Linked DNA regions of Drosophila melanogaster. The protein of the gene in region 4 interacts with the protein of the main gene of each other region in a pairwise test. Each region holds a gene or a part of one and is shown on either strand. Other genes may lie near its edges. The genes, in order: Aldh, CG17127, CG13044 and Tsr1.

Evidence for each region.
Region 1: the proteins of Tsr1 (region 4) and Aldh interact in a two-hybrid assay, tested with the Drosophila melanogaster proteins (one large-scale study listed by BioGRID).
Region 2: the proteins of Tsr1 (region 4) and CG17127 interact in a two-hybrid assay, tested with the Drosophila melanogaster proteins (one large-scale study listed by BioGRID).
Region 3: the proteins of Tsr1 (region 4) and CG13044 interact in a two-hybrid assay, tested with the Drosophila melanogaster proteins (one large-scale study listed by BioGRID).

What each region holds. Positions count from the first base shown.
Region 1 is NT_033779.5:9,385,048-9,392,956, reverse strand, and holds Aldh (aldehyde dehydrogenase), read right to left. Parts: upstream 5,569-7,909; 5' UTR 5,190-5,568; coding exon 5,067-5,189; intron 3,129-5,066; coding exon 2,980-3,128; intron 2,918-2,979; coding exon 2,821-2,917; intron 2,712-2,820; coding exon 1,518-2,711; 3' UTR 1,390-1,517; downstream 1-1,389.
Region 2 is NT_033779.5:10,768,689-10,772,752, reverse strand, and holds CG17127 (uncharacterized protein), read right to left. Parts: upstream 1,886-4,064; 5' UTR 1,857-1,885; intron 1,823-1,856; exon of another isoform or gene 1,796-1,822; 5' UTR 1,769-1,795; coding exon 1,472-1,768; 3' UTR 1,383-1,471; downstream 1-1,382. Other genes in the region: CG6724 (uncharacterized protein), read left to right, coding at 3,020-3,078, 3,139-3,805, 3,863-4,064.
Region 3 is NT_037436.4:16,300,852-16,305,203, forward strand, and holds CG13044 (uncharacterized protein), read right to left. Parts: upstream 2,328-4,352; 5' UTR 2,263-2,327; coding exon 2,251-2,262; exon of another isoform or gene 2,186-2,250; coding exon 1,730-2,185; 3' UTR 1,639-1,729; downstream 1-1,638. Other genes in the region: CG4982 (uncharacterized protein), read left to right, coding at 633-644, 708-1,037; CG43249 (uncharacterized protein), read left to right, coding at 3,449-3,469, 3,527-3,739.
Region 4 is NT_037436.4:21,332,783-21,339,667, reverse strand, and holds Tsr1 (Tsr1 ribosome assembly factor), read right to left. Parts: upstream 4,454-6,885; 5' UTR 4,346-4,453; coding exon 4,240-4,345; intron 4,176-4,239; coding exon 2,614-4,175; intron 2,560-2,613; coding exon 2,293-2,559; intron 2,237-2,292; coding exon 1,727-2,236; 3' UTR 1,436-1,726; downstream 1-1,435. Other genes in the region: Tbc1d8-9 (TBC1 domain family member 8/9), read left to right, coding at 1-54, 113-798, 856-944, 1,010-1,315; Rab26, read right to left, coding at 5,658-5,772, 6,174-6,318, 6,404-6,514. UniProt on the Drosophila melanogaster protein: Required during maturation of the 40S ribosomal subunit in the nucleolus.

The DNA.
Region 1 (7,909 bases), on a different chromosome or scaffold from region 4:
ATTCTCTTCGCTAAAATCCTGTTAGTTGCCCTTTTTCCGAGTTGGCCACCTGCCATTTTTGGGGTATTAAAATTGCCCATGGATCATTTGCAATTTTAACAGTTTTTCCAGTCGTTCCTCTTTGCGTTTTTGTTCTATACTCGAATATGTATGAATGGTTGCCATCAAGCGAAAATCAATTTAAAATATTTAGTCCAGAAAAAAGCACAGAACCAAAATACGGAATACAAGCGGTAAAATAAAATAATTGCGTATACGCCGTGGGGGCTTAGTGATTTTTGCTGGTTTTTCGTTCAATACGAAAAGGTGGCACAAATCGAATTAGGTTTGCAGCGCCTGCAAACGGAATGCAAAATACATTTTTGTTTTATACAAGTTTGCACTCTACGGTAAATACAAACTGATATGAAATATTTAATCTCATAATTCAAACACGCTTGGCAATATTCAGTTAAATTCAATACATACATAAACATTCCTAGTTTAATTGAATCGATTTCTTAAATTAAATTTTTTTCCACAAGACCGCAAATAAGATTCTGGACTCTTTTCCGCAACGTAAGTGACATTTTCAAAGCTAGGCAATAAATAAAACAAATAACCACTTGCACTTTGGCCTTTGGTCATCACAAAAATTGAAATACAAATTTTAAATAAATTGCATACAAATGCGCTTATTCAATTTCGAAAACAACAAAGTGGAAAATAAGAGAACAAGTTCTCCACTAACCGCAAAGCACTTGACACGCTCAGCTGCTGTCCAATCTAATGGAAAACTTTTTCCAATTTTTTTTTGTATGCCATGATGTTGGATGAAAAACGACCCGATGTGTCTGTGTAAGTTTGAGTACGTCCTGATATGTGAGTCTTAGTGCCACAGAAATCCACACACAGATTCAAACACACACACTCAGGCATTCGAGGCTAAAACAAAACGATGGAAAATGCCAATAAATGCAAATAAATGTAAGCTTATTTCTCCTAGATGGACGAGCAAGCTAGTTCCCTGAGCTCCGTGTGCTGGTTGCTCACTTTATCCATTTGCTTTTGGCTCTATGCTAAACCAATCAATGTTTCGTGCAGTGTAAGCTGTGAGGAAGTATCTGTGTGCTTGTTTGTCCTATCTCAGTGTTGTGGGATAAGCAAAATAATGACATTCAGTTCAGAGTGTGCTATAAACAAAGCCAAGAATCTATTGGCAAACATTGGAATTACACATAAAACTCTGTAGGGCAAAGGGGAGTAAGATAGAACGTAAATAAAACAACTTTTGAATTGTTTGACCAGGTCCCTGCACTGATTTATAGCTGCATTACATATGTACTAGATAGAAATGTACACTTAAAGAAAACTAACCGAATGGAAAAAATACAAAAACTGGCCGTAGTTAGGTATATCAAACAGATGTATTTAAAACTATGTTCATTATAGAGATGTAGATTATCGCCGGAATTTAGAGCACCTAAGTAGGGCGAACCATATTAAGCGTCCCTCTTGGAGGAAATATCTGGTCCTTCTTAGGAGTTCTTCTGGGCAACCTTGACGATGACGCTCTTGACCTCCGTGTAGTTGGACAGAGCATACTCTCCGTTCTCGCGTCCATGGCCGGACATCTTGTAGCCACCGAACGGAGCCTGGGCAGCGAGGACATTGTAGGTGTTTACCCACACAGTTCCGGCACGCAGGCCACCCACAATGTAGTTGGCCTTGTCCAGATCCTTGGTGAAAACGGCGGCGGCCAATCCGTACTCGGAGTTGTTAGCCCGCTCGATGACCTCATCCAGCTTCTTGAAGCGGATCAGCTGCTGAACCGGTCCAAAGATCTCCTCCCTTGCAATGGTCATATCATCCTGGACATCGGCGAACACCGTGGGCTGGACGAAGTAGCCGGGTAGGCCCTCTGGGCGACTGCCACCGGCAACCAACTTAGCGCCCTGTTTCTTGCCTGTTTTGATCATTCCAAGGATCTTTTCCATCTGCTCCTCGTTCACCTGAGGACCTTGCTCAGTGTTCAGATCAAAGGGATTGCCCACGGTGCGCTTCTTAGCCCGCTCCGCGCTGCGCTCGACAAACTCATCGTAGATCTTGTCCTCCACGAAAGTACGAGATCCTGCACAGCAGCACTGGCCCATGTTAAAGAACAGACCAAAGTGAGCCGTCTCGACGGCGTAGTCCATATCGGTGTCAGACAGAATAATGTTTGGCGACTTGCCTCCCAACTCCAGTGTCACTCTCTTTAGGTTAGTATTTCCCGATGCTAGTTGGATAAGTTTGCCCACATCGGTGGAACCGGTGAAGGCCACCTTATCCACATCGCAGTGGTTCGCCAAGGCAGCGCCAGCAGTTCCAAATCCGGGAACCACATTGACCACACCTTCGGGGAAGCCAGCCTCCTTCACCAACTGGGCAATGTACAGAGCAGTCAAACTGGTCTGCTCAGCGGGCTTTAGTACAATGGTGTTGCCGGTAGCCAAAGCGGGACCCAGTTTCCAGGCCATCATCAGGATGGGGAAGTTCCAGGGAATGATCTGGCCGCACACGCCCACGGGTTCATGGCGGGTGTAAGTGAAGAAATCTCCGTCCATGGGAATAGTCTTGCCATGGTTCTTGTCCGCCCATCCAGCAAAGTAGCGCAGGTTCTTGATGGCAGTCGGGAGATCCACGTTGTAGGACATGCTGTAGGGCTTGCCGTTGTCAAGGGTCTCCAGACTCTGTCGGAAAATTAAATTTTGATAAGCATATAAGTATATATAAACTATATTAATATTTTAAACTTCCAACTAAAGACCTTGAATTATTAAAATATTTCTTGATACTTACGGCAAGATAGACCTGATCGCGTTCCATGAGATCAGCCAGGCGGTAGAGCAGGCGACCCCGCTCCGAGGCATCCATGCGACGCCATGGAGATCCCAACCTAGTGATCATAGAGTTGTTATTAATAAGCAAAGTCGATTTATATCCAAATTGCACACTCACTTGAATGCATTGCGTGCAGCCTGGACGGCAATATCGATATCTTCCTTATCAGCACACTGAATTTCGGCAATGACTTCCGCTGTGGTCGGGTTGATGGTTTCAAATATTTTGCCCGACTTGCTCTTGTGCCACTCGTTGTTGATAAATACCTGCAATAAGTAGTTAACAGCTTCAATTAGTGCCATATCATATTCACAATCTCTTCTATTGAATTCATTTGTATTTTACATCGTTTTGTTGGATTGACAAACAAGCCACTCCTCTATATGATAAGCCCTTGACTGCTGTTATTTGTTATTATTGCCTGCCGTGCGTGTTATTCCTCTATCGCAATTGACTGATTGTTTCGTTCGCATGGCTACCTGAATCTGACAATCCCCCAGTCTGGGTAATCTAAAACGTTTACCGGCTAACTGATTAAAATTGAAACGAAGTGAGCCCTCGCGTCCAACCCCTCACGTCATCCTATTTTATAGAACATTTTTATTTCTTTTTGTTTTTATTTTTGCATACATCTACTTTTGAATTTCACAATGTGCTTGCGAATATAAAACTTTCCGCCAGACATAGCAAAATATAAACATAGCGACGACGCACGTGTGCATTAGTTTTCGGGGGTCTGGCTAGACGAGTCTAATACTGGTTCGATTAGGGAAGCCAATCTTATAAGTGTGCCATGTTATCTCGCCCAGTAAAGACCCCCAAAATAATAGGGCTGCCGGTGATAAGAAGTGGAAACTGCCTATGCCAACAAACACAAATACAATAAGATAAATCAAGAGATTAGAACGTTTGTGGTGCGCGAGACATTATGGGCTGATATTTCTTGTTATGAAAGCAGATTCTCAGATTATGGCATATGTATAAGTACTATAAAGGTTGCATAATATGCAGTTCACTCAAAATAGACGAATGCTCAATTCTTGTAAAATTGAAATATTTTGCTTTAGGGTTCAGCATATATGTACATATATGGTCTATATATATGTTATTTGCTATTCTAAGCCAATTTAAGAGGTATGCAAGATTTCATTTTTAGACTTAAAAACAAAAATATATTGGTATGCAAGACATGCATATTTGAAAATCAAGTTCATTTGCAAAAATATTTATTATATACAAATTTTTAAGAACTTCCTTGTTTTTGGAAAACATAGAACACTAACAATTATTTAAAGACAGTTTAAGAGCGATGTAAGCTAGGAGTTTCTTTAAAAATTCTGAAATATATATAGACAAATAAAAACCGTGCACATTGGATTTTCAAGTTTTTTCTGCAAAAATGTTTACTATATACGAACTGCTCTAATTTCATTGGATCCCATTTAACATCTGGACAAAAACCACATTTGGCTCGCTTCCTAACCGCAATTCCTTTTCAATTAAATCGAACGAACGCTAGTTTTAATTGGTGACACTAAAGATAAAAAATGACAATGGTTAAATTTATGCAAATTTCCCTAGAGAAGAAATGAAAGCGCGAGGCGATGAGAAGAATAAATGATGAGAATTTGCGGCAAACAAATTTTTGTTTTGCGTGTGCGAGCGCCACTGCTGACGTAACAAAGAAACCGGGTATGGCAAACAATGAGAAGCTGAAGCAGAAATAACAACAACAATAGCCGGCGAACTACATATGCGATTGTTGTTTTTGCTTTTTCGATATCGCCTTTGTATATTTATTTTAGTCGCCGGTCTTTCGATTCGCTTAAGCAGCCTAATCCCCTACAATCCCCTACATCTGCCGATAAACATTTGGTGTACGTGATCTGAATGCGGTGAGACTCGCTTGCGTTGCGCTGATTTGCCAATTTCTTTTCGTTAAAATCGAAATGGGGAAGACCTACACCGGAGAACCTAAAAACTGGATTCGCATATGTAGGGTATTTGAGGAGGGGCTCTAGGGCGATAACAGCTGTAGTTGCTCGCCTCAAGGTCAGCTCAAAAACAAGTCAAATGCTTGCTTTCCTGTTGAGTTCTTTACTCAGATTGCAAGTGCGATTGCTACAAATGCCGCAATTTATTTATAATGCTTTTCACTTTTTATTTTTTTTTTTTTTTGGATTTGAGTTAGGATTAGGACTTACCCCGGTGTAGAGGATATCGGGCGTTGTCTGTGGCTGCGGGAGGGAGGAGTAGTTCGCAACAGCTGCTGCGAAGTTCTTGGCCTGGGAACGCAGCAGGGCACCGGTCTTCAAAACGCGCAGCATTTTGAATAGATTATTTTTTATACTTTTCCGGATAGAAAAACTAGAGAAAAGTACTGAGAGCGCAAAACTAGAACTGCGTCTTAATTGTTCAGCGGTCGACGGACAACTGAAACGATTTCGTAGCTTTGCCGCTCGCGAAAACTACTTAGGAATATTTAAGTGTCTAGAGGGGAACTCGCGCCACGCCACAAGTGCTGTCAGAAGAACATAGCCAAAAATAGCTACATATGGTCGCCCTTATCTATAAGATTTTTAACTGTTAGGAGCCATATAAAGAACAATAACACAATTTAGACCGAAAATTTAATAATTTTTTTTTTAAATTAAAATAAATAAAATTTTTGTGACCTAACGGTTTGAACTGATACACACAGCTGGCTTTATAACTTAAAAGAATTTCCACATAGTATACCTTGTTTTATATAATTAATTAGGTGGAGCAAAATCATAATAAGTATATGATTGAGGTATTATGTAGTTATTAGTATGGGATGGTTTTAAGAGAAAAAGTAGATAGGCATAAAGTAGTTAAAAGCTCATTGCCAACACTGATAAGTGCTGATAAAGTCAGAGCGAGATAGATAGATAATCTCTTCAATAGGGAAACCAGAAAGAGAAGGAAATCAATAACAAAGAGTCTTAAACGCAATAACTAAGTACTAAGTACGAAAAGTACTTGAATAAAATTGCATTTGCATGTGGAGATTTCATTATGCCGGGTGGGGTTATTATAATATTGTTTATCTCGTTAAGATACTCTTTAGTAATTTATGAAACTATAGATTGCTTTTGTAGCTTATTTGGCAAACCTCCACGGTATAAATTATCATACGATTTCGCTTAAAAGAAAAATATTCCAGAACTTTGTGTTTTTCGTTTAGAATGACTAGCTATTTTTTATAATTTCACGATGGGAGGAAATGAATTTAAAACCAAATGATATTGTAACATCTAAACAGTTATCAGGCCAATCAATCAATGAGCTTTAGAATTTGTATTCACAATTATATTATATAACTTGTGGAACAGAATGCGCCAGATGGTTTACTGTTAACTAGCAAGACTTGTATAGTAATAATAAATAAGGTATTATTATTTATTTTGGTACAATACAAAGAATTGCGCTAATTTATTTGCCCAAAAGTTATTGAATTAAAGTAATGCATTAGTGAAATGTCCGAAATCGTTCGTCTATTATTGAACATTACTTTGATTTTTATTATGTTGCTGTCTCTCTTCATTATTTCGCTTGCTTCTCAACGTTTTCATCCCCTTGCACGAGCATTCGCATAATAAAAATGGCTATGGCATACTTTTCGGCTGTCAGCCATATTACTAGCACAAAATTGATGATGAGCGAAAAGAGGACGAAATTTATTTCAACATAATTCATTAAATGCGATTTAGGCCAATTTGTCAAAATCTTTCGAAATTTATTTCACTCGTAAATTGAAAGCTTAGCGACGGCTGTCAAGAGAATCACGCATACGCATCGTTGGCCAAAACTGGCGAACGAAAGCAATCACAGTCGGAAAACTAATTCAATACAATGCGTCTCACCCTTCCGTCCGAAAAGCACATGCAACTGAAATGGAGGCTGAGTAAACATTTGGTCGATTCCGGCTCCATTCCCCTCGATTTTCCCACCGAAGGGCCCAATTACCAACGCCGAAACCGCCCGAATAAACTTTAATGGCAATTGTTATGCGGCGGTGCCGGTTATTGATGATTCTGCTGTCGCTGCGGTTGCTGTCCTCAGCTGCATGAAATATTTAATAACCGAGAGTAAACAGTTTGGCGTAAAAAATAAATTGCATTCGGACAGCTCGGCTCAGGCGCACGCACTTAAATGCCATCATTGATGGCTGATTGCTGGACGCAGTACCATGTAGTATATGTACATACATATGTGGGTTATAAATGCGAAAATGAAATTTACAACAATTTGTTGGAAATTACTTTCAATTGAATTTAATTACGCCTGGTGGGAGTCGATGTCGCTCCTTGCGCTTGCACAATTTTATGGATGATTACGTAAATTAAGTTTGGCTTGTGTGTGGTAGTATGATACTCGGTGTGTAGAGCAGAGGTGGGAATATAATTAACACACGTAATATTTGTGCTTCCCGGGAAATGAAATTGAACTGGCCAGAGGGAAATGTACTCAGAACATTGTTTTGATTTCACAATATAAATGAGGGAAATATTAATCTTATTAATCTTATTAATCAAATATGGAAGCGCATTTAAAGCTTTTCGAATAAATAAATTTAATTTCTGATGCTTAAGAAAGGTTATTTAAGTATGTCATTTGATATGATAAAACATGTGTATTTCAACTTAAGTAGTTATTGAAACAAAATCGACAAAGTGGAACGCTAAAAGCATTTTCTCACACCAAAGCAGTGCCAGAATATTCAAATTATAAGAATGTAATAAATTCACTTTTGTTTGGTCAGCTAAAATCAACAGACGTCAAACAGGATAAAGGGAAAATCCATCAATTTTGTGCGGTAATGATCTCTGTCAAAGGTCAAATCAAACAAAGGAAATCCTAGACCAAAATCTACGTGACCCACTTAGGACCTTGGCCAGAACCATAACCAACAAACCCTAATGCTTTATGCTTTTGGCACACAACGTAAAAAAGGGAGGGAGAAAAAATAAGGGAAGATCCGCGTAGAGCCATGGAAAAATATAAGCGAAATGTATGCAAATGG
Region 2 (4,064 bases), on a different chromosome or scaffold from region 4:
ATGCAATAACGAAATGTTTCCATTATCTGGCAATCCATATTGCTTAGTTATACTTCTAATTTATACGTACTGAGCTAAGTGCACTGAAAACAAAATCAACCATTGTCCCCCACATTTGAAAATCATCGAATAAGTCGCAACATAAACGAAGGAGAAATTATTTAACTTGTTTTATCCCATCATGATTTTATTTAATTTGTAATTTATTTCATAACGAATGCAAATGATTTTGAGAAATGGTTTAATGCAATGGCCAACTGTGTAGTCCTCTTTGAATTGAAAAGCTTTTAAGTTTAGACTGAATATGGCAAAGTTTTAATTTAAAGCAATTTACTCCTACTTTAACCATAATTTATATACAATTTAAACTAATTTTACTTTGACATTGAGTCTTGATAATTATCGTTGGATTTTCCTAGAAAGGAAAATCAAAAGCTCGAGTGAATTTCAAAGCTGACGAGCGGAGAAAAGTGTCAAAATGAAAACGCAGTCATTCTTTAGTTAGTACGTACGAGTATAATAAATAATTAATTACCTATATGAACATAATTTATTTAGGCGATGATCGTGCACACTATCACTCACACACATACCACACAGAATTTTTGAGATAATTAAAATATATTATGAAAATACTTTAACTAGCGTAAATTTAGATTGAAGCTCATTTAACAATGTATGAAGTACGAAATAAAAATGAGGTAATTCTAAACACACAAGATAAAAGTTTTAAGTGGTTCATATCATATTTGGGAATATTTATTACCACAAATGATGCAAAAATCAGGGCCCTATAAAATACCCTACGATCATCGGACCCACCCAGATGTTATGCAAGCAGCCCCTCTGTACCTGCGGGCATGCCACGCCCCCTCCACGTACAACTCATTACACATGCAAGTGCATGTGGCGGCAATTACCAGAAATTAAATAAACAAACCGAAGCCCAGCAAAAAGCAACAAAATACAAAATACAAAAAAAAATAAATAAAAGTCCGAGGAAAACAATCACGACGACAACTGTTGCATCACGACCGCAGCACAAAAGTTGCCGGCGGGGCAACCACTCGGGTTACCAGCGACTCCATCGCCATTCCCATCCCCGGGTTACGTAACAAGGTTGAGGATAGGATACCATGCCATGCGATAGCAATGTGCCGACTTTTATTGTTAATTCGTATGCGCAGCGGGATCAGCGAGGAGAAAGTCGGCGAAGATCGTTAGGAAAAAGCCACAAATCAAACCAATAAATCACTCGTTTCGATTCGAGAGTTCGTTTGCAGAGGAACCAACTGGTTTTCGGGGAGGATCACTTTCGCTTTTAATATTTTTTTCGGATTTTTTTTTCCAATTGTTTTGGGTGGTAAATAAACGCTGCGATTAAATACTTGTAATGTTTTCGTTTTATTAGTGAGAAACTTAACAATGAGGACGAAATGCAATGAGCTAACCAAGGAAGTGGTCCTACGACTTAGTTGCGACCGATCTGGTCGACCTGGGACTGCAGGTTGTTTATCACCTCGGAGGGCACCTGGTCGCCGAGGATCTCGAAGAGATTGATGCGCTGGTTGCCGGGTATCTGCTCGTACGCGCCCAGCTCGATGCCCTCCTGCACGTTCTGGATCTGGGCATCCTTGGGGATGAGAAGCGTCTGCTGCGCCTGCCGGATCGCCTCGTTCGTGTAGGCGGCACCCTCGCGATTCTGGGGCAGGGATTGGGCACCAGCCAGGAGCAGGGCGAGCATCGAACACAGCGCGAACACTTTCATTTTGTGGGTTTTCTCGAGGGGATTCAACTGCAAGAGATGCACGGATTCAGTGGCGCTCGATGCGGACTGGATTTGGTTATGGTCTTACCTTGCGCGCGTCGTTTGTTGTAATGTTTCGGCTGCGCAGGCGCAATGCCCGTTTTATAAGCTGAGCTGCGCCGCTGGAAGCCCCGAAAATCTGGAAAGCTTTAACTCTTTCATTTCGCTTCGTTTCTGGTTTTTTGTAAAGCCAAAATGGTGGCACAAAGTAGTAGTACCGAAAAAAAGTGTTATTACTTCCCAGCTTAATATCCCCATCGACCCATTAAGGTGAATACATTTTTTATTGGAAATTTTTTATTTTCTTGGGCATTTGTCCAATTTTGATGCGAAGGTTAAGCGCCACTTCAGAAATGTCAAGTGGCATTTAACCTTCCAGTGAACACTCGGCCGCAAAGTGGTCTTTCAGGTGCTATCTGGTTCATATTAATAGCCTGAACGTAAAATATTAACAATTACCAGTCTTTGAAGATTGAAGAGTCATTTACAAATTGCCGCCGCGGCTGTGCATTTTTTGGTTTCTTATTTTTCCATTTTGCGTAAGACGATCAAAAGGAAGAGAAGCAGTTAGTGGCTAAATTACAGCAAATCATCTGCGCCTGATTTGCTTGCAAAAAATATTTAATTATCAGTATTGCGAATTGGCTCGTATCTCTGTAAGATTTTTTTGTAATAAAAAAAAGGAGAAACGACAAAGCAGTGGTTATGCAATCAGCGGTTTTTCGAATTTGATGAGTAATATTTTAGAGAAACAAAATCAAAGTGATTAGAAATACCATACACTCTATTAATATCTTTTTATTTGTTAAAGTAATCGGCAAATTACACTTAAGCAAGCTATTATAATTATGCATAGTTTTAACGCACCAAAAAATTTGAATTTAAAAACTCCGCTTAGTAGTAACGGGTGATAACAAGACGATAAGGCATTTCGATAAGAGCACAGCGATAGCAATGCGATAACTCTTATTCCGGCATGCGCTTCGGCGTTTTTTAGTGTTTTTGCATGTATTTGTTGCATTTACCATCGTTCGTTTAAAAACACGCTTCTTTTCAATTTAATTTTACACAACGATCTCCCGAAGGAAGAACCTCTAGTTTAGTGGTCAACACCTTGTACCACCTGCAGGAGTTAAGTCATAACCGTAGCAAACACACGCGGGAACACCCCAATCCCAATCCAGCCAAAAAGAAACGCACGTGGGCCAGGAGATGGATGTGGATAACGGCGAGGGGCAGGTGCAGGTGCACCTGAAGACCAAGCAGGAGCAGTGAGTGTCCATCTAGAATCTCTATCAGTAGAAGATTTTAATCAAGATACCCTATTTCAGCTATGCCGTGCCTGATGTGCCCTATGCCATCGATGGCACCGTCACCACCGTGGAGCTAAACACATTCGTGAACGCACTGTTGCGTCAAAAAGATGGCTCTTCCGACACGGACTTCGACTTCCTGGTGTTCGATGAGTACCTGCGTGGCCGGCTGTGCGATCACCTGCGCGAGAAAGCCATCAGTTTCGAGGACGCCATCGAGATCGAGTATGTGGAGCGGTTCCCGGCGCCAGAGCCACAGGATTGCCTGCTGCACGACGACTGGGTGTCCGCGGTGAAGGCTAGAGGAAAGTGGATCCTCTCCGGGTGCTACGACAACACCCTGAATTTGTGGACCAACAAAGGCAAGCACATTCTCACTATTTCTGGTCACACGGCGCCCATCAAGGCGGTGGACTGGATATCGCTGGACGAGGAGACGGGACGTTTTGTGTCCACATCGCAGGATCAGACCGCCATGCTGTGGCAGTGGAACGTGGGCTCCAACTCGGTGGAATGTGTCTCCGTGTGCAAGGGCCACGAGCGAGGCGTCGACAGTGTCAGCGTGAGTCCGGATGGTCTGAGATTTGCCACGGGCTCTTGGGACACGATGTTGAAGGTGTGGTCAGCAGAGCTGGACGATGCAGTCGAGGGCAGCTCAAAGCGGATGAAAGAGAGCGGTGTGAGAGTGAGTAGTCTTGCCATTTATAATTAGACTTGTAATCAGCTTTACAATTCCTTTCAGACCCCCAAAATTACGCTGCAGGGACATCGTGAGAGCGTATCAGCCGTGCAGTGGATGGATGCTACCACTCTGCTAACTGGCAGCTGGGATCACACACTCAAGGTGTGGGATCTGAGTCTTGAGGGCATCAAGACCGAAATATCCACCAACAAGTCCATATTCGATGCGAGCTACTCAAAGCTGAATCGGCTGATACTGACTG
Region 3 (4,352 bases), 5.0 Mb from region 4:
TAAATTAGAGCCAAGGTCGCCGCAAATGGGCTGGGAATCTTGGCGTGTTTGGTTAATTATAAGCAAAGTTAGAGGAAAGTATAGGCCATACACATGCGACATATGGTGTTTGGCCTACGATTTGCGTTGGTGGCACCCAAAAATAGTCGGGAAAATAGTCAGTGAGCCAGGGGAAAAAAAAAGAGTTTGGCTGTTGGTTATGCTAATGGCTTATGGCTGGAACGCTGGCCCACATCTGTGTGCCAGTCAAGTAGAAGAAATAACCAGGAGTTGGGAGCCAATTTAATGGGTGTGGGTGCTGCAACAGGTATCCACAAGTGGGTGGCTTGTTTATTTGCCTATTTACCTATTCGGCTTTAGCCTCGCCTCGGCCGAAAGCCGCTCGCTCAGTTACGCCCAAATGGGTCACTAATGAGCCATCTGGGCCTGGGAATTGGCTTGAGGAAAAACGCAAAAAACATCAGTATGGCAAAAACAAAAAAAAAAAAAACAAGACACACAAAATTTAGATGATGGCTCGATTGTTTGTGCCAATTCTAACGTAAAGAAGCCAATTCCCTTGGTCGGACTTGTATAAAACCCGAGTGACTTCTTCCACTGCCAAACATTGTTGCAGAGTTTCCCCAGCGAAGATGTTCAAAGTTGTGAGTTGCCCCTATAACACATAATATTTGGTAAATACCTAAAGCAATATCTATTCCCCTTAGGTGTTCCTTTTGTGCGGAGTATTCGCTGTCCTGATCCAGGCTCGCCCCAGCTACTTGCCCAGCTATGAGCACGTGGAATATGCTCCCAGTGTCGTAGGATACGAGAGTTATGCCCTTCCAGCCGCCGTCTCACACCAGAGTTCCACAGTGGTGCACGAGAAGCGTCCCTACTGGCGCCCCATTGTGGATCACACGCCCATCCTGAAGGCAGCCTATGCTCCAGCTACTTCGATCTCGTATGCCCCACTTGGATACGCGGGCAACAGTGCGGGATGGTACGAGCCGGGAATCTGGGGAGTATCCAGTTACCCCAGCATTTATCTGAAGTAGAACAACGAACAAAGAAACCCTTCTCCACAGAAAATCTCATTTTTGGTTATGTGTAACATATTACCTCTTCTGTATTGCAAACTTAAATGTACATCAAATATGCAATAAATAAAAACGTTCGACGTAAAGGTAATATCATAGTACCTATGATAGCTTTAGTGAACTAGCCTCTGGAATATATATAGTAATATTGGAAAACATTAGTTCTTGTTCTGGAAACGTACATAATCAAAAAACATACCAAACCAATATGGCTGGGTGCAACTGCGTCTCTTAAATCACATTTCAGTAAGTCTAAATTTTGTTGATTTTAAAGACAACCTGAATTTAATATTCAATTAAAAAAATTTTTGTTTATTTGCTGGGACAACAAATAAATAAATACAAATAAAATTCAAGCTTTGGTTTATTCAAAATGTTATTGAAGTATTTAGTTATTGTGCATCGATACCATTGTTAAATAAGTTTTGTACTTCAAATGAATTTAATTCTGTTTTTAAAACATTCAGAAATGTAGGAACACTTTTTAGAACGCTTCTTTGTAAACTTCAGAATTAATTTATATATCCCCACATCATTAAGAAATTCACATCATCTGTTTGGTATTCACAATTTAATTTATTCTTTTTTCGATTTCCTTATTTTTTTTCAACTAGAAAGGCACAGTTCAAACTCTTTCGATCCTCACCACATTACCAGGAGCCAGCGGCGTAGGTCAGAGGGGCGTGGTGCAGCAGGGGAGCTGGGGCGGCGTAGGAGAGGGGAGCCGAGTAGGCCACCGGTGCGGAATAGGTCAGAGGAGCGGCATACGAGGAGTAGGCCACCGGGGCGGAGTAGGCCAGAGGAGCAGAGTAGGCGACGGGAGCCAAAGTCTTCACAATGGGTGCGGCGGCCAACACGGGAGCGGAGTGGACAGCGGTGGTCTTGACCACGGGAGCCACCACATCCTCCACCACGGGGGTGCTGTGCACCTGGGTCAGGCTCTGGTGGGACACGGCGGTGGGCACGCTCTTCACAACAGCACCCACTTTGGCCAGAACGGGCTCCTGGACGACGGTGGTGGTGGCGGGAGCGCTGTAGACCAGAGGAGCAGCAGCCAGGTGACCGGGCTTGGCGGCGGCCACGGCCAAAAGAGCAGCGAGAACGAACTGGAGACGAGAATAAGAGTTAGTATTCCAAAGTGGTGCCATATGGATATCCCTGCGATCCTTACCAATTTGAACATATTGGTGTGGTGTTGGCTTCTTCGACTGGTGTCGCTGGATAGGGAGACAGACTTCGAATGTGTTGAGCTGAGGGACTGTCAACGTCTTTTATACTTGAACTTCACATTTTACACACACACGCACTTCGCCGGCTTTTGTCAATTGAGGCGGATACAATAAGCCATAAGTCGAACGTGCCTGAACGGATTCTGGCCGCTTGTCTCGGGTCTTGGCCATAAACCAGATTATTATTCGTGGCCAATTTCTGTTCGGCTCGCTCGCCTCCTCAACCGAGTTTGCCCCTTTCCCACTACTCATTACTTCACTTATTTTCGGCCTCGCACTTGTTTGCCATACCCACTCTTGATTTCATTTCACAACTCGGAGCTCATTAGTCGCACGTACTCACCTGAAGATCGATTTCTGGTGCGGAGGGAGAACCAAGGGTCCGAGATTACTTCTAATTGGAAACCAATCGTAATCGCTTCCGACCCAATTCAAGGCCAAGTTTATAATGACAGGAAAACACTTTCGCTTGGCTTACTCGCATTTACTTAAATTCCAAGAATTCGCAATGATTTTTGCTTGATTAAAATGGTCATTCAAAACAGTAGTGAGTAAAAGCTACAGAAAGAACGCTATAGTATATTTACTCGACTATTAGATACCCGCTTATCAGCTAGTGGGAATGCGAACGAGAAAGTTCAACAACCTCTTTGATTATTAAATGAAAATTTTAACAGTTTTTTCAAAACTGTGGGTGTGGCGTCTTTTTACAACGTGGGTCAACAAATGTATATGTCTCTGGAATCTGCATACTTAATCTCAACTTTCTACCTTTTATCCCGAAATCCCGCGGGAGCCCGAAAGGCCCCGCCAGAAATCCCGCTAGAGATCCCGGCACGTTTCGCCAAATCCCGCCATATATGTACTGCTTGTAAACTTTTTTGTAGGAAGAAAATGGATTTAGATATATATGTACAGTTTTGTTGACCATTTTTAAACCTAATCCGACCACTGAAGTGTTGCTTTCCTCCAAGTAAACTGTCTGTGTTTATTTTTCTATTCCGTAAAATTGTGACTGCACCTGTCCAGAACATCCAGAACACTCGTATTGAAGAATTGAACAGAATTTGGTATATAAATGCGTAGAATTTTAATAATGCACCAGTGATTGCATTTAACCCGCCGTTGATAACACTACAAATGGATTACCTGTTGAAAGCGGTAAGAAAATATAGAAAATATTCATAAAAATACTCTGTTAAATGGATTTCTTTCTAGATATTTGTTCTAATCCTTCTGAGCATCCACTGCACCAATGGATATGTTAATGGCCGCCACGAGATAGTCAGAAGGGAGGTGAACGTGACAGAGGTGGATCGCGGATTGAGTGGAGCACTAACCATGTTTTTCCAGCCCCTTGCTGATTTTGCTGCCAAGTTAAAGATGGAGATACCCATGATTACACACTTCCGCACCAAACATTTTAACTAATGTATTGTTTTAATTGTAAAAAAAGTGATTTAAAATGTTTTTAGCCTGTATTATTAAAAACGTTTAAATCAGAGGTACAATGACTTTTAGAAATGCCCTTGAAGAGGGCTAATGGTTCGTTGAGTTCACTGCCCGAAAATGTCAGCAATTCCCAACCAGCGGGATGCCCACGCTGTCACCCAGCTAATTTTCACCCACATATGTGGCGTTTTTCCGACATATGGGTGTCCAATATTTACCCACGGCACAGGTGCAGCAGGATGTAAGTAGATACGTGACACAGGGCATTGAACCAGGACACTTTTAGTACACCAAGCGAGCTAAGACCAAGTCCACACGCGCCGGAAAATGTTTAAAAAAAAAGTCTAAATTCACGTCAAAATGTCAACATTTCGCCTAACATTTTGAATTTCAAGACAAAGTAAATCAGCCCCGAATTTCATTATATATTTACCAAGAACAATGAGTTCCACAGTTAATTTACTTTTTCAGTTCTAGTACCTTTGTATTAGTATATATATTTCATCTATATATTAGTGATAAAAGCTATTTGTTACTATCATCTGTTTAGACTCTTTAGGAACTACAGGAAGATAAATGACCCGCAGGGTGA
Region 4 (6,885 bases):
CCCACGCACAAAAGATGATGCCGAGGAGGCTTTCGAGGCGGAGGATTTCTTTGAGTGAGTGTTTTCTGAGGCCCAAACTATAACGAACTAAAACCATGCATTTCTTATTTAGTAATGACGCCTCCGAGTCGATGGAAGCGTTGCCCTCGCCCTCGGATCACAATTTTGATGCCGATGACTTTGCCCTGATTAGTGCCACCCAGCATCTGCACAACCTGGCCGGAATCTCGGGAAACACATTTATGGACCTGTCACGCACTCCCAATCTGTCGGTGAACTCTAACACCTCCTCGTTGGCGCATCGCAGCTCAACCTTCTATGTGGACCTGCCGGGATTCCAGGGTACTGCCACATCCACAGATGCTGGGCGGGACGAAGACGAACTCCAGCGACAGCTTCGCCAGCAGGGCCGTTACGAATCGATTGACACATTTTCGGATATTTCAGATCTGGGAGCGGCACGCATTACGCCGCCCGAAGCGGGAGTGGGAGCTGATGTGGTAGCCGGAGCAGCCTCGTCTGCGGCCGCTGATCACATGCTTCTCAATGTCGAGACTATATCGAATTTCTCACAGATCAGCGACCTTGTTGCGGCCACACGTCTAGAACGTGTTGACTCGAATGCCACGGACTTGCGAAGCTTGGGCAGTCTTGGCTATCTGCTGGACCAGCCGGACGAAGGCGCTTCAAATTCGCAACACAGCATTCCCCACATGCGTAAGGAGAATTTTCAGCTGTTGTGGCGCAGTATCATAGAGATCATGGGTCTGGTCCAGGATGAAGAGATGCAAAGGGCTTGTAAGTATAGCCTTTAAAACGTGAAAGTACCATTCAAAACTATTGTTCATTTTTTAGATGAGAATCTCTTGGAGCTTGGAAACAGCAATATTAAAAAGGAGCCCAGCCTGGAGAGCTTTACCCAGCTAAATATGGGTGGCGATGAGGTATGACTTGCTTTGTCTTTTCAAAGATTCCCAACAATCAAAACAAAACTAAATTTTTCTTTCAGCAACCGGATAGCAATGGCAATCCCACCACTCCTGCACCAGAACCCATTGGCACTACCCGTCTATTTGTGGCTCTAGAAGAGGAGCTTCGTCAGGCGAGCGGAAAGTCCAGGACCACAACAACAAGCAGTGGGGACAGCAGCAGCACTAACATCTCCGAATCCTGGCACATATCTATTACCCAGTTTATCGCCACGGTTCTGACTGTCAACAGCATTGTAAGAGGTTTCCAAACACCAATCCAAATAAGCGAACAGATCGAGCAATTGCAAAAGAAGCGTCGCAAGTGTCTGTCCACCAATTACTGAATAATCATAGTCCCATCCCTGCCCTATGTCCTGTCCCCCCACAAAACTGTATTAGCCATATTCTATGAGAACCTGACCGATTCTTTATCCTTGTGCAATGCGACAAGCTTTTAAACGTATCCATGTTATATGTATGTATATTGTATTGCCTCTACCATTAAGTTAAGACAATTGTTTGTGAATATAATTCTATTATTCCTATTATACAACGCAGTCACATATAAAAAATTATCGATGCGGGATTTTTGTGTACATATTTTATGTACTTTTCGGGTGACATTTCCCGAATGGACACTTCGTAGGTTTCATACTTTTAGAGGTTTAAATGTAACAACAATAATATAAACTCATTTCAGAAGTTATTCGCACTGTCCATCGATCACTTATTTATCCATCCATTTGCACACACCTCTACTCTTCCATGGCCACTTGCTGCGAGCTCCTCCTGTTTGCCGACGCATGTTGTCGCTCGTGCTCCGCCGTTCGCACCAGACACTCTTCGTAGGTCCATTTGGGGAAGACTCTCTTGTACAGGTACATGAAAGCAGTGTCGTAGGATCGCAACTGCCCATCAAAGTAGCACTTCATGTGGCCGTGCGTGCCCAGTGACTCCTTAATGTGTCCCAGCCGTCCGCACTTGGTTCTTAGTTTCACAGGCTTGAAGTACTCCACATCCTCCTTGTAGAAGAACATGTAGCGAATAGAAGCCGACTTGCGATTGATACGCATGGGATGACCGCTGAGAACAACGCGCTTGAGAACAATACGATCTGGATTGCAGGACAGCAGGCGTCCACGGGCAACCAGCGCCAGGGTGGAGTCGGGATTCACCTTGAAGGCCAGCACGGGTGCCGGAGGGAACTGAATCGGTGCGTAAAACGTGGCGCAAACTGTTTCGTACGGACGGAAGTAGCGTTCGAACTGGATAAACATAATCCATTAATAAATAGTCAATTACAAATTAGTCCAAATATTACCTTATGCTTATCCCCATTGGTGTGCTGACTGTAAATGGGATTCACAACAAAGCGACGATAGCCGCACTGGATTATCAATTGTTCTTTAGACTTCAGCGGCACCTCCGAGTCGGGCATTCGCTGCAGTACCACGTTCATTACGCACATCTGGTGCTCATGGGGTAGCATTCCATATACAATAATGTTGTCCATAAGCTGGGCGGACTTGAAGGCATTCCAGCGGCTCTCAGGAACATTTATCACATAAAGAGTGACGTATAAACCAGGCTGAAAGCAAAAACATTATAATCTTATAAAACCGAATTTTTGGAAAATCCCTACCAGAACGCCCTCGAACTCCTTGGCTTCATTAAGAATCCTACGCTTGGTGCGGTCGAAGTTCTGGAACTGATAGATGCGAGCATAGTCAGCGGGAAGATTCTCCTTGGCATCCCAAGGCGAAGTTCGGAAGGACTCTAAGCCGCGATATTTCTGGAACCTCTCGCGAGCGGGCACATCCAAAGGAGTGTCTATCTCATCGGGCCAAAGCTGATCCGTGCGTGCTTGCTGCAGCTTCTTCAGGGTCTCACGCTCCTCCTGGAAGTCCATTTGCTGATCGTACTTTTCGTCGTTGATGGCAGCCTCCGAGGCCACGGACACGGTGTCCTGGAACTCCTCAGTGTCTGAGTCCCGCTTCTCGTACTCATCCTCAAAGGATTTGTTGTCGCACGACATGAAGTCCTCATTATCGTCTTCTTTGTCGTCATCATCATCTTCACTCATGTCATCGTCATCCTTACCGTCTGGGTCTTCCACTTCCTCCACATCCGGAATCCAGGCAGCCTGGTACTCGCTGTAGCCCTTGGGTACACGCTTAACAAGCTTCATCTTTTTAGTTTCCGCCTGCGATGCGGCAATCTCGTCTTCGGTGGGCCACGTCTGCTCCGCGTCCATGGGGTCGGGTATGTTTTCGCTTTGAAGGGAAGTGCGCTTAGAGGGATCACTGCGATCCAAGAGACGCACCTCACTATTCTCTCCATCGCGCGATTTATCTAGCTTATACGGATCTGGAGGGGCCACCACCTGGCTTAGCTGGAAATCACCCAAGCCGGGAATGTGGACCAAACCATTCACGTTAAGAGACTGTCCACGTAAGAAACCAGTAACTTCTAGTGTGCCCAGATCGTCGCTGGGATCTGAGCCCGGTTTAAACTCTACCACATCTCCAAAGAGATGTGGCCGATTGGCGACGTTATGGAGGATGCGCTTCTTCTGGCCTCCAATGCGCCGCATAACATTCAAGGCCTCGCTAGCGGTGTCCAATTGCATGATCTTCTCCTCGGGCAACAGCTTAGATATGACCTTCTGAGCCGCCTGCTTGGCAGCAGGACGACGCTTGGGATTGATTGACTCCAGATCCATGAGGGCTACTACCGGAGTGGGTATTCCCTGGGCTGACATCATGTTAAAGATCCGTTGACCCCAGCGGTCGAAGATCTCGTCATCGCCAAAGGCTGCGGTGGTCAAAAGCAGGGTGGTGTCGCAAACCTTAAGGTAATCCAGGGCAATTAGCTCATTTCCGCGTCCCACTGGTGGTGTGACAAAAGCGAAACGCTGCTTGAACCTTGGAAGATTGATGTAAACAATGCCACTTGGGGAGTTCTCCACGACCAGTTCGCTGTCACAGCTCTTTAGGATTTCCAATGCGGACATGGGATCAATCTGTTCGTGCATGGGTAGTAGGCACACAAGAAAGGGAGCTGTGTTCTGACCACCTAGTTTTCTCTTTTGCTCCAACACCTCCTCCCTTTTGTTTTTCCTGAGCTGGTTCATCTGGTTGCGACGCTGCTCCTTGCGCTGCTGCTGCTTGTGCTTGTGGGAGATAGGCCTCAGTCCAATCTTCCCTGTGAAAGGTGAACGCCCATGTGGGTTAGAACTCTGGATGATGCTATTAAGATTTCCACATACCTTTTTGGGCATTGTCTATTGCTCCTTTGGAGCGATGACGACCCGTTTTGTGAGCCTTGTTCGCTTGTTTCAGCGGCCCGGGCCGATGAAAAGCATGATCAGCCATAGTTACCAGGTAATTAACTATCAAATTCCTATCAATTTACGCTGTTTTGTTTCCCGAGGCTGGAGCTAGAGCACATGTTCTGTCGATTCAATATTTTTCTCGATAGCTCGACGTTTCTCTTGATATCGATGTTGGGCGATGTTTTGCAAAACATCGCCTGTAGCGCTTAACAGCAGTGGTGAGTATGTGAGTTAGCAGCTGCTAACAACTGTTGTATTGGGCGCAAATTTCAAAATATGCTATTGTACTGTAGGGCACTTCCCAAAAATGAAACAAATTGCCGCCTTGTTTTTTAAACCACATTCAATGTAAATATGTATTTGCTGTTTATGGTATAGACTTGACGTCTGCTTGAATATAACGCTTTTTAGTAGCTAGTTTACATTCATTCCGTGATATATGCATGCATCGGATTCTTTATCTTTTGCTGTAGTAGCTCAGTATAGTATATGTTCAAGTTGTTCAACTGCCTTTGATTATTCGCAACACCTTTGCCTGGGCGCGCTGTTCAAATTGGTTTGGGAATGGGTTTCTGATTGGGCTTACACAGGCGTAATTAGTAATAATTAACTTAATTGCGTAGCGTATTCATTAGTGGGGTGTGTAAACAATTTTCAGGGCCTCGTTTGGACCTAAAACTTAACGATAGTCCATAACACTTAACAATTAGGAGTAAATCAATAGAACTAATAGTAGGTAAATTGAGTGATTGTTTCTCATTAATTGGAATTGTAGTATCCCGAGATCTCCTCTGGATTATTTAGGTAGGTATATATTCTCCAAGCAGTTCTATCCTCAGTGAAATCCAACGGCGTGCTGGATAAATCTCAATGTGGCATGATTTTGCTGCGTTCCGTCGGCTCTCTCCTTAAAGTAATTTATGCAGTTGTATACGGATATTTGTATGTATATATACATATATATATATATATATATAGTTTAATATTTATGCACCGGGCCTACTGATGCCGCAATGCCAATGGCCTGCCCTATAAAAATTATGCGTATCGCGTCCCGTTCCGCCCCGAAATCCCCATTTACCTACAAAACATGCCGAGTACTCTACCTTCCGTCTAGGGTCTTACAAAATTGGTGCAATCTTATCGAGTGTCTTTGTGTGATTTTCTTTTTTGTCGTTTTGGGTTTGTTTCAATAAATGCAGAATTTCGACTCTGCGCCATCGAACGTGTCCTTCTGCTTCCTTTCGAGTGCCCCACTTCCCATCTCAACTGGCTGCGGGCTTATTGTTGTCTTTGTGCGCGGGATCGGGAGGATATGGCTCTTCTGTCATCCGCAAGTTGGCCAATTTCAATTACATGTTCCTGCACTGGGCGCAAACCGAGCGCGCCTTTGTATTGTCACGCACAAAATCATGCACATTGAACTTTCCATCATCGCCGTGCTCGTAGCCGCGACTCTTTAGTTGCCTGCAAATGAGAATGAAGATATTAAATGTATTGATCGGGGAAATTTCGAAGAATTCCATAGTGGTTTCACGTTCTAGTAATATACGTATCTCCTAAAATTAATTCTGTATTAATCAATTCTGTACTAAGCCTAAAACAGAGTATATTATGGATACAAGTTGTAAGAAACCTATAGTAATGCCTATAGAAACCTCATAGTAAAAGCTTTGCTTTAAATCTGAATACCTTCATTTTCGAAGAAATGAAAAACGAAAACTGAACTTTTCAACTATTCCAAGCATTATCTTGTGAATTTGATCAAATTTACATAGCTAAGATACTTAATATATTTTTAAATCAATATGTCTTTTTCCCAATTGGAAATAAATCGAATTTAGGATGGCGTTGCAAGGAGAACTCACCTGGCCACCGCTGTGAAGGACAGCTCCACATTGAGTCCCGTCTTGGCCGAGGTCTCCATGAAGGGCACGTTGTGCTCCCGCCCCAAACGCTCCCCATCCTCCCGCTTCACCTGCCGCTCGCTGCCGCTGCAGTCGGCCTTGTTGCCTGCGGATTGAAGCGAAAAGTTGATTCGATTCGAAGCTCGTAAGTTGATTAAGTTCAATCAAGGCCCTTTAACCCGATCTCTCACCTATTAAAACGATGACCACGTCCTCCTGCGCGTACTCCCGGATCTCGCCCAGCCAGGCGCGAATGTTGTCATAGGTGGTCTTGTTGGTCACGTCGTACAGCAGCAGTAGAGCTTCGGTTGAAAAATGCAATTAGGTTCAGTAGCAAAGGTAGGATAAAGTGCATCCGAAACAAGGATAGTTATTCGATAAAAAATAAAGTAATTGAAATTTAAAATATACATTCAAACTTCAATAAATATGTGGTGTATTAGATATAACATCAAACTAATACATTTTTTTAAATATGTGCAAAATGATCACATTTCCGTGTGTTACGAAATCACTCCATTTCTGTTTTCTTTATATGCACGAGGAAATAACGGAAAAACTGGATGTTCTTTGAATAAAAATTACCCCTAACAATTTGAAGGAATTTCATTGACCTGGAGAATTTCGGTTTTCTAAACAGATCGAGCATTGGGTTTTAGTACTGCATTTTTCC